2 linked regions of the Schizosaccharomyces pombe genome follow. The protein of the gene in region 1 interacts with the protein of each later gene in a biochemical or structural test. Each region holds a gene or a part of one and is shown on either strand. Other genes may lie near its edges.

The links.
Region 2: of the proteins of knh2 (region 1) and lkh1, one has a biochemical effect on the other in vitro, tested with the Schizosaccharomyces pombe proteins (one large-scale study listed by BioGRID).

The regions. Positions count from the first base shown.
Region 1 is NC_003421.2:1,305,270-1,311,786, reverse strand, and holds knh2 (conserved fungal cell surface protein, Kre9/Knh1 family, Knh2), read right to left. Parts: upstream 2,179-6,517; 5' UTR 2,008-2,178; coding exon 1,219-2,007; 3' UTR 840-1,218; downstream 1-839. Other genes in the region: rpl2302 (60S ribosomal protein L23), read right to left, coding at 1-135; SPOM_SPCC1322.09 (uncharacterized protein), read right to left, coding at 4,014-4,658, 4,813-4,991, 5,050-5,593.
Region 2 is NC_003424.3:654,291-663,570, forward strand, and holds lkh1 (dual-specificity), read right to left. Parts: upstream 5,888-9,280; 5' UTR 4,543-5,887; coding exon 2,470-4,542; 3' UTR 1,951-2,469; downstream 1-1,950. Other genes in the region: 3' tRNA-processing endonuclease tRNAse Z L2 Trz1, read left to right, coding at 1-1,950. UniProt on the Schizosaccharomyces pombe protein: Protein kinase that may act as a negative regulator of filamentous growth and flocculation. Appears to have a role in normal cell wall and septum formation and in cell separation.

The DNA of each region.
Region 1 (6,517 bases):
ACCAGTACCAAAAACGGAGACAATGTAAAGGTTCTTAGCACCGGAGTTATCAGCACAGTTCATAATGGCTTGAACTGGAAGACCCAAGGTCATTCTATACTTAGTACCAGAGGCAGCACCGCGTCCACGAGACATTTTGTGATAATTTTCTGCTGGTGTTTGGTTGTAGAAGGAACGTCGAACCCGCAAGTTTGCACTAATGAGAAATGTTACCTTCAAAATTTTGTGACTGCTCTCTTTTCTCAACACAAAACAAATTCAACATCGTCTTACAGGTAACAGTATTTTTTTCGGGTTTGCAGTAACAATTGAGGAAGGAAGGAAGGAAGGAATAAACAAAAATAGGAAGTATAAGAGACTAGGTGTAATGTTCCAACAGTATGTTACTAGAAGCGGCCGATATATTTTTTACATGATTCAGAAAGCGATAAGCTACAGGTCCGAGAAATTTTGAGCGAAAACGGCCGACGGCTTGGTTGGAATGTGTGGCATATGTAAATGTATTACAGCTAACAACAGAATGGTTGCAAAATTGCATCTTAGATTAAATGATATATTTGATTTCAACGATTTATAATGAACAGCTTGTAATTATCTATAAACAGTACTTTACTCACCATCGTGAAATCAATCCTCCGCTAACTCACACTAAACTAGATCAAATTTAAACATACATATATATATGCTTATTCATACTTCAAAAAATGGATTTATGACTGTAATGAAGGAACAAGTAAAAGTAATTTGCATTACCATAAAGAACGTTTCTTCACAATTCAGTTAATTCTTTGAACTATAACAGTTTACAGAAACTACACACACAACTAACTGTATAGAATATATGAAATGAAATGGAATTGCTATATGATGATGATGATCAGCTATGAACAAGACATGCGTGACTTTTTAGAAACCATCAGGCGCACAAAAAAAACTAACGTTTAGTATAAAAGAGTAGCAAAATGACCAGACTAATGATGATGAAAAGATAGATTTCAAATGATTTGCCAAATATATGAAAAGGAATGAAAAAAAGCAGTATAAACAGAGGGCGCAAGTTAAATGATAAAAAAAAACAGACTAAAAATATAATGCGCCCCTCATATGTAGCGATGAGTAGATGAACTAGATAGATATTTTTTTCGAAATATGTTTCAATGGTTCTCTGTGGTAATTCGAAGGTTGAAGCATAGTAGGCCAACTCGGTTGTCAGCTTCTTTAAGCAATAAGCATAAGAGCGGCAATACCCATGCAAGCAGCAACGGAGAGTTGTGCAACGCCGTTGGAAACAGCACCGCTATAAGAAGTGTAGCTAGAGGAGCTAGAGTTACCGGCGGCAGAGCTGGAAGCACTAGTGGTAGAAGTGGAAAATCCGCTAATAGTGGAGTTGGAGCTAGCACTTACGGTCTTGGCATCGGCAGAAGAGATGGATCCACTGGAGCTGGCAGAAGAGGAGCTAACAGAGGAAGAAGCGGAAGAAGAGATGCTTGAGGTGATGCTAGAGGAGATAGGGGTAGAAGAGCTGCTAGAGGAAGAAGAAGAGGTAGTAGAGCTAGAAGAGGGGGTGGCAGTGCTAGAGCTAGTGGAGGAAGCAGAGGTAGAAGAGTAAATACCACCGCTAATGGTGCTAGCAGCCAAAGTGGAATCACTACCTTCAAAGTCGAATTGCTCAGATTGAGCCAAACTACCTTGGTTTTGAGAAGTAGCTCCGTTGAAGTAAATTTGCCATCCGTCAGTGGGGAGATCAGAAGAGATGGAGATGTCGGTATCCAAAGATCCAGCGGAGGATTGGACAGTTCCGAGATTAAAGTTTTGGTTGGGATAATGAGCATTGTTCACCAACATAATAACCATCTCCTCGGGATCAGTGCTGACAGAAGACCAGGTGACGGTGTTCACTTGGCCGGATTGCCAGGTGGTGTCACGAGTAGGAGAAGTGACAGAGACGGCATAAGCAGCAAGTGCATTAGCAAGAAAGAATAAAGTGGTACCGACACGAGCAAGCATTTTCACGATTACTTAAAAGAAATGAGAAAGAAAAGATGAAAATTAATGAAATTAATTTGTTTATATTAAATGAAATAAAAAGAAAGATGTTTAAATGAAAACCGCTCGCTCAATTAAACAGCAAAAGCTTGTACAAAGAACGATACAAGTACTTAGTGTATGGTTAAAACTGAACCTCCCATGGAGCAGCCTTCCATATATATACTGGAAAACTGTCTCTTCACGTCATGGCAATTTTTGGAGGAGGCTGAGAAGGGTAACCGTTACCACACCGACCAACCCCCTCAATGGTAACGGATAATATTTTTAGATGCGGGCAGTGAGAAAGTAAACACACCACCAAAATGTAAACAAACAAAGACGCGTATACCACAACAAAATGCGTACCTTAGTAATAGGAATAAATCTTTTTCAATAATTAAACAGAGGTACTTTGTTACATGTTTTTTATTACGATTTCCCAATTATAGGATGCATCTGGCTCGTGTCTTTGTATTATGGGAGTGTATATGTCTTTCTGGCCAACTATCGGACTGTGTGACTTTATTTACGAAGTAGTGAAATCACAGTTTCAGCCATCTTCATCAAGCATTCTTCATTCAATTAGCTTACTTTTTACTAAATCTTATCCCATCTGCCCTTCCCGCCCGCCCTATGTCGTCAATTCTACTCTTGTCTTCCATATACTCACTGTCAAAAAGTCATAATCGCGCATATGGAGGTGGCTGGCAGATGAGGTTATGTCGAGCAAAACAGGGAAACATACATCAATTCCAAACCGATTCGGTCAGCTAGCCAGCAATGGAAATAAGCGGAATAGGAAATAATCCGCAATGATCCCGTTTTCAAAAAATTGAATGCGTATTCCAGTTCGGATGCAATGCGTCTGAAAACTTTCATTCAGTTCTTCCACCTCCCGACCATATGGCAAAACCAATACCGACGATGACTAAAGAATAGTAAAAAACGACCAGCCAACCTACCAAAAAAGACAGACGATTTGCAATTCAAGCTTCTTTCCATTTTTTTACTCTTTTGTGATTTGCATTTTCTTATACCGAGAGTATTAGCAACACATAATTGCCTTTACCGCACACTTCATTATTAACAATTCCTTTAACGTGACACAAGAAACTGCGTAGTAAGATTTATTGCTTGTCTCAGTATATAGTTAAAAATCAGGTTAAATAGCTTATTAATGCGTTTTGCCTGATTTCATATCACCTTTTGCCTGGGAATTCACATCCAATCGTGACCTTTTTTTTTACCAACATTTCGTCTAATGACATGATTGCTGCCTTGCTCAGCAACCTGCTTGGGCCAACGAAGTTACCTGTTTCCACCTAGTTTCGTAAATGAGCTAGCTGTAAAAGACAAGCGATAATGAGGCGGATACTTAATTGGTCTTATTCATCATCAACAGGTGTGCTAGCACTCAAATAAAACTTTTCTAAAAGGGCACATGTCTTAGTCCATAAATACTTTTACTTTCCCTTTTTCTCTTTGTAAATAAGATAGCCCATTAAAACTCGCTAAATCCCATTATTTTGCATCCTAATGAATGGCTCGTTAAGTTTATCGTCACGTTCGTCTTATGATCCCACTCTAATATGTTGCAATTAATAAATAACAGAATACGTTACAGAGCGCTAATAGATGAAATGCTAGTGTAAACAGATGAAGAAAATCCACCTTTCCATCTCATCAAATAGTTTGCTTTGTTTCTAACAGCTGTGTTCTCTTCAGCAGCTAATGTAAATGTTTTAATTCTCTTGTACCGATATTTTTAAAGCGTATATACCCACTCTCATCGAAAAACATTCACATGTTGCTGTGCTACTGCTTAAGTCTCTTCGCTCACTACTCTAACATTGCTCTATCATATTGAAAAGCACGTCAATATTATTACGATTATGTGGCACAAAGAAAGTAGTTTCATTTGTTATTTCCTTTTTTAAATTCGAAACAATGCATCAAAAGTTCATAATTCATTAAAGTTGAATCAATTAGGCATACATGGCTCCGTCATAATATGGAACTGGAGTTTCAGATGAACCAGTGTTAACATCTTCTTCCGGTAAACCAGCGAAAAGAGAAGGATCGCCAAGGGCCATACGCTTTGAGGTATACATTTGGGCAACAATACCTGCTGCAACAGAAATGGATTGTTCCACCCATTCTGTTACCCATTCATTTGGTAATATGGCGTTAGAACCGAAAAGCTTAATGTATCGAGGGTCCACAGCCCATCGTTGCCATTCAAGCGGCAAAGGTTGAGAAGTGGTAGAAAACTCCAAGTTATGATTAGTATCGTTAAGGTGAATAAGAAAGCATAGTTGCTCATCATCCGAAACTTCTTTATTTTTGATAGTAAATGCTTGGATTACGAGAAGTAAGTGAGTTACTCGAACCATAGGAGATTCTGAAGCGTCTTCATCATCACCAGCTCCAACATTTTCTTGCTTGTTTTCTTTGTTCATCTTTTTAGCCTCCGTAATAGGTTCAGCTAAATTGGCTTTTGCAAGTTTTTTCGCTTCCAAATAACCATTACATAGACCAAAGTCTTCATAGACATCGTTCGTTCGGGGTCGAACCTTAGCTTCCTTATCCAATAACACCGTTAATTCACCTCCTTCTACTTGGAACATCACCTGGTAACATGTCAGTAAAATTATCCCATAAAACTTAATTATGATTATGCATTGACCTATCTGTCTTTTGAAAACCAAGTAATCGGTGACAGCATAAAAGAAAGCACAAATATTAGTGCTATGTCCAAAGCGTAAACGTAAATACGCAACTTACTTTTTCAAAGCTTTCATACACTATACGGTCCAGGTGTGCAAATCCTGCTAGATCATGAAATACCGTCACCTGCAAAACTTCATGATCATGAATAGGAGGTGCCACCACGTTCAGAACGTTGTGAATTGTATTGCTTAATGTGGGAAGGGCCTTACTCCTTATTCCATTGCTCAAATCTCCTAAAAGACATTTGTTAGCAAAAGGAACTCTTTCTTCCAAAAGAGAAATTCTACTTACCAAGCTTGTTCAAGTCCACCATATTACGCACGTTAATATCCCAGTTGGCATTCTCTTCAAACCCTTTTATGGAGCGAACTCGTTGTTCAGCTGATCGAACAGCAGCGGACGCAGTGGACCAAAACCCACCAAGCCAGTTGCTCTGTTTGGGTGTTTCTACATGTTCTTGGAACTCCTGGGACTTGTTGATTTCGTTAACCGTTTTTGGAGTAGCGGATTCTGTATTTTTATTTATAGTTGTCTGAGCCGCTTGAGACGGTTGATTTGATGCATCATGTTGCTGACGTTCATTCGAGGTAGCTGCGACAGATTCATTTTCCTCGTTGGCCTCTTCTATAGGATTTTTCTCATTCTTTTCTTCGTCATTCTCAAGCTGATCTAAAAATTCCAGCAGTTCTTTTTCGTCCTGCACTTCAGATGGGGCACCAATTTTGGAGTCGTCGTTGTTGAACTCTTTGGAAGTGGGATCTGCTTCCATGCCAAGTTGATCCAATGATGCCATTAATGTTTCGACATCATCAGTTTGCTCTTTGGTCTCTGCCATACTGTTTAGCAGGAATATCACACGGTCTTGTCTAGTTGATGAGTTTCGTAGGCTGAAAAAGCCACATTAAGGACTCCTATAATATAACGGTAAAAATCCTCGTTAAGAAAATTTTATGCAATTATTATTATATTATTACATTATGAAAGAATTTAATAATTTCGTTTTAAAAGTAAAGTCGTGAACTAAGGTATGTGAATTTTAAAAAAGTTTATCTAAAAAATAACATAAAAAGTTTACTGTACCATGTTTGTTCTTATGATTCTCTCACCAATATTGATCGAACGACATTCTGCGAGTCAATTATGCAACAGTGGTCTTGATCGTGCAACTGATGCGTGAATTTTATAGGCATAATGCTTACGAGAAACGAGAAAGCAACAGATATTTATTATCCGTGCGCTGTAACTTACCTACACATTGTTTAAAAAAAGCAATAGCTTAAACAATGGTCAGCAACTTCCTATCCGTTTTGGCCAAATAATACACGCCGTCCAACGAACATTATTTAATACATTTATTTATCATCAATTTCACTTCAACATCATCGACAAAACACTACAGAACCTTCATGCCTAAACTATTGGAATATATACAGGATCAAGCGAATATTGCACAAAATTCTATCTACTCAAATCAAAACGACTAGCAGTCATTGATAGATTCTTTAAAAACAACGTGACAAAGAGCAAATGGCTTTTTTTGGCACACACTGACAAAAAAATGCGTAAATCATTAATGGTATTATCTAACAGCATTAAACGTCCTTGTCATTAAAAGACAGGCCTGGTAATATTTCAATCTCTTCTTTCAAGCTAAAAAGAATCAAGAGATCGCGGTTACACAGTACGTAAATAAGTACAATATCGAAACTTTTGGGAAGCCATGTCATATGCAAAGTTGAAAATAACCATATTCCAATTT
Region 2 (9,280 bases), on another chromosome or scaffold:
TTATCTTCGATGCGGCATTTCACTTATCATACGAATGTAAATTTAACGGTACAGGGATATACTTCGGCTGAGGCCCCAGTATTCGTTGATGAAAATATTTGTGTAACTCCGGTAGTTGTTTCACTAGTTAAAAATTCTTTTAAAAAAAGGAAGCATGAAAACATTAACAGAGGTACAAATGCAAGACCATTAAAAGAGGATAGAGCAAATACTTCTCCTCATTGGTATTCTCACGTTTCCAATGATACATCATTCGTCGTTGAGAATGCAATGTATAACACTCCGGCTCCTTTGGAACCAGACAAGCCAGAGCTGTTTATTTCTTATATTGTTCAATCCCATCCTACCCCAGGGAAATTTGACGCCGCAAAAGCAAAATCGCTTGGTATCACGAAAGGATTAGACTGTGGTAGACTCGCTCGAGGAGAACCTGTAACTCTTGAAAACGGAAAAACAGTATATCCAAAAGAAGTGATTGGTCCTTCTATTCCTGGCTCCTCCTTTTTTATTATTCATTGCCCCAACGAACTCGTAATTGACTTGGTCATTGAAAATCATAAATGGACAAATGCACCTAAACCTGTTTGTGTCATTCATTCGGTTACACCAGAAGTATACAAAAATCCACGTTATCAGAGCTGGATTTCTTCATTCCCAAGTGAGGTGAGCCATCTAATTGCTTCGACTGAAGTAAACGAAGTAATAAATTATCCTAGGAGTGCAGTCGCTATTGCAACACTTAATTTGTTAGATTCAAAAGTTTTTCCTTTAGGCTTTAACTGCTATGAAGTTAAAAATGTACAAAAAAACAATCGAATTGCTTTTGCCAAACCCAAACTGCGTTTTGCGTTTGGAAAAAAAACTGGTATTGACGATTCGGAAGTTGGGGTTTCGATTGAAGAGTTGAAGGATAAAATTTTGAAAGAGAAACCAGATTATAAATCATTTGTTGAAGAAGCTCAAAAATATGTTAGTGATAAACCAAAGGCACCGAGCTTTGCAGGTTCTGACATCCAAATTTGTACTCTTGGCACTGGATCTGCAATGCCTTCTTTATACAGAAATGTTTCATCTACTTACGTTAGAATTCCCGTTGACAAAAAATGTATGGAAGACTCAGCTATCAGTATGAAAAACATACTTTTGGACTGTGGAGAGGGCACTTTGGGACGTCTATCGAGGCAGTATGGTGACAATTTAAAATACGAAATAGCTTCTTTACGATGGATTTATATCTCCCATATGCATGCTGACCATCATGCTGGTGTTATAGGGGTTTTAAAGGCTTGGACGAAGTACTCAGATGGCAGATCAAAGTTGTTTATAACAGCACCTCCACAATTTGAATTTTGGCTACTAGAATACTCAAGGATTGATTATCTACCATTATCCAACATCGTATTTATTTCCAATAGTGCTTTACGTACTGACAGGAAGCCGTCTGCTTTGGAATCCTCTAGGTTGTCTTCTTTATTTAAAGAATTTGATTTAGTATCTTTTCGAACGGTTCCTGCCATACACTGCCCGTATTCATATTGCATGGAGATTACTAATTCCAGTGGTTGGAAGATCGCATACTCTGGAGATACTCGACCTTCTGAGGATTTTGCTAACATTGCCAAAGACTCAACTTTATTAATTCACGAAGCTACTTTGGAAGACTCTATGCACGAAATTGCAATAAAAAAGCAACACAGTACTTACTCTGAAGCTTTAGAAGTGGCCAAAAAAGCTGGTACAAAAAACGTTATTTTGACTCATTTTAGCCAACGATATCCCAAATTACCAGACATTGATATTTCGACAGAAGACTTACATATAGCTTTGGCGTTTGATGGAATGACTCTTAAAATATCGGATATCTCATTGTTTCGTTATTTTGGAAAGCCTCTGGCTTATCTATTTAATGAGGAAAATTTAAAAGAGGAGTCGGATCCTTTAAAGTTCTAACTACTTGAGCTATTGTCTCATATTATATAAATTGGGTCTCAGGCAAGTGATCTCTGTTGTTTAATGAAATGGGCAAACCTTTTCTTCATTATACAATTATGTTCATAACAAAATACTTCAGACTTCAAAAAAATTGTCAAGGTAATCCGTATCTATTAAAATAGTCCTGAAAACCATTAATGATCTTTTTTTCTTTTATTTCACTGAGTAACTACTATTTAACCCAAGGACCAAAATTTACGAGTGTAATTGACGACTTAATCAAACCTTTATGGAATAATCTAAAAAGAGGACAATTTTGAGTTTTAATTTATATCGGATAACCAAGTACTCTATGCAATTAAAGTAATTGTAGAACATGCGAGTTTTCGTCTAAGAAACTGAATAATAACAAACGAATAAACATCAGCTAAAGCGTAACACAAACCAGAAATACGAGACTTCCGTAGATTTGTAAATTAGAAAGAGTGAAAATTATTGAAAAACATGAAGTAAATTATAAATCTCTAAGTTTATCCATCACAAATTTGAAGAAATTGGTTGGGTGAAAAAGGGATGCCAAAGGGCCTCTTTTGCAGTTATTCGCCGCTTAGGATCGTAAACGAATACTTTTTTCAATAAATCAAGCAGCAAAGCCACTTCTGGAGATGATACTGCAAATATTTGCTCTAGCGTTTGCAGAGATTGAAGATAATTAATGCTTTTTTTAGGCGTATTTGACAAAGGATAACGGACTTTTCCGTCAGATTTAAAAAAACGTTGCGATGTACGAGAGGAACGCGAAATCATATTCCTATCAAAGGGACCCAGGATTTTTTCCATCATGCACAGATGCTCACTATCTTCATGGGTTTGAAACAAGGCTTGTCCCGTGAATAACTCAACTAAAATACATCCAATACTCCAAACATCGCAAGGATAAGACCAACCCAACCCTAAAATAATCTCTGGAGCACGATAATGACGAGTACTCACTACACTGGAATGGTATTCATCTTCAAATGTTGCACTACCAAAGTCGATAAGCCGGATTTCACAACTATTAAGGACTTTCTGTGAATAATTCCGATAAGGTAATCGAATAGTTCTTGAGGCATTAGATACCAGAAGAACATTTTCGGGTTTAAGATCGGTATGTACTAGTCCCAAAGAGTGAAGAAACGCAACACTTTTAAAAAGTTGTTGGGATAGCATCTGAATATGCTTCAAAGGGAAAGGAATGTAGTTGTTATTCTTTAAAAAATCAAAGACACTCCAGCCAAAAAGATCAGTCACAATGCAGATGTGCTTGCGGTAATCGAAATAATCGCGTAACTGAATGCACTTATTTTCATTTGTCGGATCACTATGAGCTATAGTTTGTAAAACTCTTAATTCAATGAGACTAGCTTCTCTGTACTTTGGAATTGCTCGAGTCACCTTGATAGCACAATGTCTACCTGTACTTTGATCGTAACACTGGATAACTTTGCCAAAAGTACCGTGCCCAAGCAAACGAACAACTGTATAACGGTTGGCAAATTTGGAGTTAGGTACAACCTTGTAATGACCGTCATCATCATCAAAAGTTGATGGATCAAAAGCGGTAGTATCATGCACAACAGGAACATTTACGCGGTCGACTTTTTTATATGGGGGCCATGCAGCTCGCTTCCTTTTCTTCGGAGGTCGATAATCGGAAATAGATACAGGAGTGATAACTTGATTGGCATTAGAAGCCGGTTGATAAACGTTTGCAGAAGGAGGTTGGAAAGTTGGTTGAGTCATCGGAAGCCATACGGCCAGCGTTGGAGATAATGGTACAGCGGTATGATTGTTAATGGAACTTGGGGTGACGGAATAATTTACACTTTTATGTTGAGACGATTGCGAGGAAGGAGCGATAGCAGTAGCCGGAGCTAGCTGAGGAGGGTTAGAAGGACAATACGTTGCAGGACATAGTGGGGGAGGATAAGAGGTTGGAGACGAGTAAGGATGATTATGGATGGGATGTGGAAGCCTGTTCGGATGGACTTGGAGCTTTGGTAAATTAGGGATCACTGGAGGTTTAGAAATTGGTTGGTGAGGTAAATTAGGAGAGGGAAGCGAAACCGGGTACCAGTGTGAAGGAACTTGAGGGACAGGAGGCGGCCGTAAAACAGGTTGACATGAAACAGGTAGTGGATTATGAAGGGGAGGATGATGTGAATGGGGAAATGGCGATTGATTATTTGAACACGCATGATACGATGTAGGAGACTGAACCATATATGAAGGATGGCTGGCGACATCATGCGGTAATGGAACGACGCCATTAGCATCCAACCATGGATCATAGGATTGAGGAAGAGATACCGAGTTAGTTGATGGATAAACAGCATTCGCACCATTGATAGGGACTGCCACAGTGCCAGTGGTAGAGGGTGATGATGATGAGGGAGGTTGCGGAGGTACGAAGGATTGTAATTGATGAACAGAAAAAGGAGGCGGTAAATTAGGGGTAAGCCGTGGAGAAGCTGAGTCCTCTATAACAATGACTTCTTGTGGAACACCATTTTTATAAAAGTCCTGCCAATCAGGCGCATGATTTCTACGACGTTTTAAGGAATGCATTTTACAATAAAAAGATTCCGTCTAAGTCATGCGAGCAAATTGGTAAAGTGAAGAGGTAGAAGACGTCGAAACCTGAAAAAAGGGATAAGTATCTTTTAGAATTATGCAAAACCAGAAGCAAAAATGATGAAAAGAGATACCAACCACCGAAAATAAGTGTTTCTCAAACAATAATAAGGGGAAAAGTTTCCTTGTTCGAAGTCACCAAGCGACAAAAGCAATAAAAAACCTTTTTTTTCGACTCGTCGAAGGGTAAGAACAAAATAGAAAGGCGGAATTTAAAAAATAAAAATAAAAAATGGACGAATTAAAGCAATAGAACTGAACTGACAAGCATTCGACAATTGGTGTTGGACCAGAACAGCTAGTTCATCAAGAAGCAGAGAATGGGAGGAAGAATGAGCAATCAAGTTAACTGGTACACCTACTTCGAAAGAGTTTCAAAATTTGAATGCAATCACGAAGAAAGAAGTTAAAATTCTCGACGTTGTAAAATTGCAAGGCCGTCGATCAAACGATAAATCAGCAAAGAAGCGGAAAACAGTGAGAAAGTGAACTTGAAATATATTTATCAAACCAAATGGTTTCTTATATCAGGGAGAAGAAAGCCGTTTTCTCAGAATAAAGACAATTGACGACAACCACTAAACCCCTTTCTCAATCAAATGTAGGGTGCAACAGTAAAGAGAAACAGCAAATGCAAAAAGGTATCGGAGAGAAATAAATATCTACAATACCGGAGAATAAGTATGCCGAACACGGAGGGTCTGTAAAGGCAAATCAAACACGAAAAAACGATAAACACCAAACCTTCAATCAACAACTAGCGGAAACCTTTGTATCAATCGTATTGCTTTAAAGTAATGATGTTCCAAGGCAATATTGTACCATGAGACAATGATGAGGTTTTTGTGTTTGAGGGGGTGCGATTGCGCTACTACCAAAATTGATCAATGTCCAAATCAGGCGGATTAGTAATTTGGATAAAACAAAAGTATAAATAACCCCCAAAAGAATCGGCAATTACCAGGGCAGTTTTCAAAAGCACACAAAGTCGACGACAAGCGATGTAGCTGTAGTACGAAAGTCTACCTAACAAAATGGTAGATCGTAGATGGAGAAAAGCAAGTAGTGAGTGTAGTAAATTGAAGAATGAAGTATATACGACTCTTAATAAGCAATTTTCTTTTTCTTTCCTTCAATCCCACAGAATGTAATTCCAATGGGGGGGGGGTAAAACAACAAAGCAATGTCCTAATAATACAACTGCTAAGAAAACTAGTAATTGAGGATAGAAAGGATAAAAGAAAAAGCCTCAAGCCAATTCGAGGGATGTGGAGAAAGTAAAAAGGAATTAGCAAGAGTTTGGATAATAATAAGTTGCGTTTTCTTTGGTAAAGCCACTTAGAAAAGGTGAAATTTGCATGAGATAATCATGTTTGTGAGACCGGAACAACATCATTGTTATTCTATCCTTAAAATAAAATAGCTGGAAAAAATTGGCCGGACGAGGGAACAACCCAACAATCACCATCCAGGCGCGTTGCGTTTGGCACCTCCTTCCTATGAAAAAGTATACACATTCCACAACACCATGTGCGCAGTATGCAACGTACCTAGCCGTCACCCAACTATAGCGTAAGAGACGCTTGCTACTCTGAAGGGCTGAGATCTACGAAAACCGCCATGGCCGTAGAGGCAGAGGCGCTGAATGAATTTTCATTAATTTAGATCACTAATCATTTACCATTCAAATGCCGCTCCATTCAACTCAACCATATTCACTTAAGGAGTTTTCGTAAGAAATGGCTTATCATTGTCATCATACCATTCAAACATCAATACACACCACACATACACACACACACAAATGTACACAAGCATGCACACTCATACACATATATAAACGCATGTTTACATAAATAGTTATAAAATTTACATATAGTTTTACGCATAAATAATGCAACTGTCATTCTCACCATCTCTATCCAACTCTACCTACCATGTACTATATACTGTATTATACAATGAATGCTATATGCCCGCTTATACTGTAGCTGCCTTGTCGCCCGCCCCATTTGTCCATGGTATAGTATTCCGCACAATTCTTTACCAGAATAGAAATGAAATATAGAAAACATGCCTTTTCAGAAGCGTTTCTCACACTTTCAACAAATGTCGTCCAGCCCATCTGCCAAATTCTCTTACCAAACTAGTCTTGATTATGGCCATCCGTCCTCGGTAATCGAATATTTCGTCCAAACAGCGACGCTTGGCCATCAAAAAATTTAGTGGATGACAATAATCTATGTAACAAATAATACGATAAAATTGCCATGATGAGTAACAAAACAACAAAGGCAATAATTCATCAACTATTGAATAATCATTTAATGGTCGCGAAAAGGAAACAAATATAATTTTCTACAATCAATCATCTACAATGACTGATGTTAGAGCTTGAAAACGGGATGTGAAAAATTCAATCAACATGACTTCAAATGGGGTGAGAAATTGTAATTAAGCAAAGGAAAAAAATAGGCAACAAGGCATGGTTGTAGCTGCAATTAAGGGACTAATGTGTCGTGAAACTCAAAAATGTAAAAAAAAGAATGACAATCCCCTTGCATAATTGAATTACCCGTTGAAATTTTTGGGAAATCCGGTTACTGCAGACGGAAGTTGAAAGTCAACTTTATCTCGGTTCTTTTTTTCCTTTTTTTTTTTTTTTGCAACTTCCTTACCGGCACGCAAGGTCCGTCGCACTTCTGGACCAGGAGTAAACTGCTTACTTATTGAAAGAACAAAGAAAATTTTAACCTTTCTTTAAATACGCTTTCTTTTCTTTTTCTTTTTTCAGGCTATTTTTTTGCTCCTCCCGTCATCCCTAATAGCTAGTCGGCTTTAACGATTATTATTTTAGGAGATGCTAAAGTGCAGATTGACGGTCTTGTTCGTAATTTGCAATCAGTCTATGTCATGATCCCTGACCTCAGTACAGTGGAAGCTGTCTGGCTGGCAAGGGTAAAGGCTAGTAAGTACTATCAATTATGTATGTCAGTTGTGGATGGGGAATTATTATTGAGACTTTTTACAAAGTGTCAAGCTCGAGATTTGGCCATTACATGTCGGTAAAGCAGCTGAACAGCGATATGCCGTTCATAAAAAAGCGTCAGCACAAGTGAAATCAAGTGTCATGACATGAAAGTCTAATCGGTTATTTGCAACATTAACCGAAACTTGTAGAAAATGCGCTCTTTGGCAGTTGAAAAACGCAGACATTACAGATGCTATAAATACATAGTATTAAAAACATAATAACAAATAACAATAACATGTTAATTAATCTTGCTATACATAGTAACATCTATAAAACGCAGTGTAAACAGAAATCATTTTGACATGAATTTCTTATGTAACAAATGAATCTTCCATCTTTAAAGGGAAATCCGATCGCTGTGTTCTCAAGTTATCGACTCCTTTTTCTCATAGCAAAGGCTGAGCAAGCAATCAAAGCTTTTGCTCCTAGGATTATCTAGGACGATGCAACTTCAACATTCGTTGAACGGACCGCATACCCATTTCCTAGGTTCAGGATTTAAGCTTTGTATTGTGTTGTGTGGTAGTACAATTAAGCAAAAAGGAACCGAACCGTTGGGGCTGAATATTGTTTTTCACTATCAAACAGGTAATAAGATATATATGAAGCAAGCAACTTATTTGTAAGCCTAGCTAAATGCTTTATCAATATAAACTCGAGGGAAATATTGGTAGCATAGTATTCCTTTAACTTTTCTTTTTTTTTAAATTAATTTTGATTTCACTTTTTAGTTAACGAAAAGAATTATTTTTTATTTAATAATGGCAAGCGGAGTTGTTTCAATCCAATATATTACATTTACCAGTAAAAAAATTCGATACTTTCCCTCCACCGTGTTAAATTGCTGCATTTTTTTGCATGTTACGGGATGTAAGGAAATAATCTCAAACCAGTCATCCTTACTTTGGTTTCCTACATTTAATGAGCCATGCCATCTATCCTCTATTTCAATACCTTCCTTCCCATTTTTTTCTGCTAAATCGATATGTTGTTTTTTAAATACTCTTTGTTATTAGTACTATATATGCACTATTGATTTTGCTAGCAATGTATTGTATTATTTGTATGTTTTGTAGAAAATAACCTACTCGCCAACCCAAAAATACCAGTTGTTTCCGACAGCGTCATTTATTCATCACACTTTTCCGAAAATCGGCTTTACAAGTCCCGAGTAAAAGTGAATCAAGAAACAGCTACCATGAATTTGATCAACGATTTTGAGTAACCACAGAAAAACTCAGTATGGCCCATTACGGTTGGAATGGGTCGTTGTTATGAATGCCATTTTCTTGTTACCGAGCGGCAAACTCCAACAGTATATTGTTTTGTAGCATCGCTAATGAATGATTCGTTAAGTTTGTTTTCGTGGAATTTCATGCTCTTCTTTTATACCCGAAAGCCGGATACTCGTCGATATACTAGATGTGTAGTGAGTTAATTAATTAGCCAGAAATTAGTGAATGGGAGAGATTTTTAAAATATCAAGATTGATCATTACTAATCATCTTTCATCTTTCACAATACTTGTCATCGATGATTGATAGAGATTGCCAAGAGACATTAGGTAAAATAAAACGTAACAGTTTTGACGATCTGCTGATTTGCTTGATGTCAACCTTGGGTATGTTTTCATTAAAC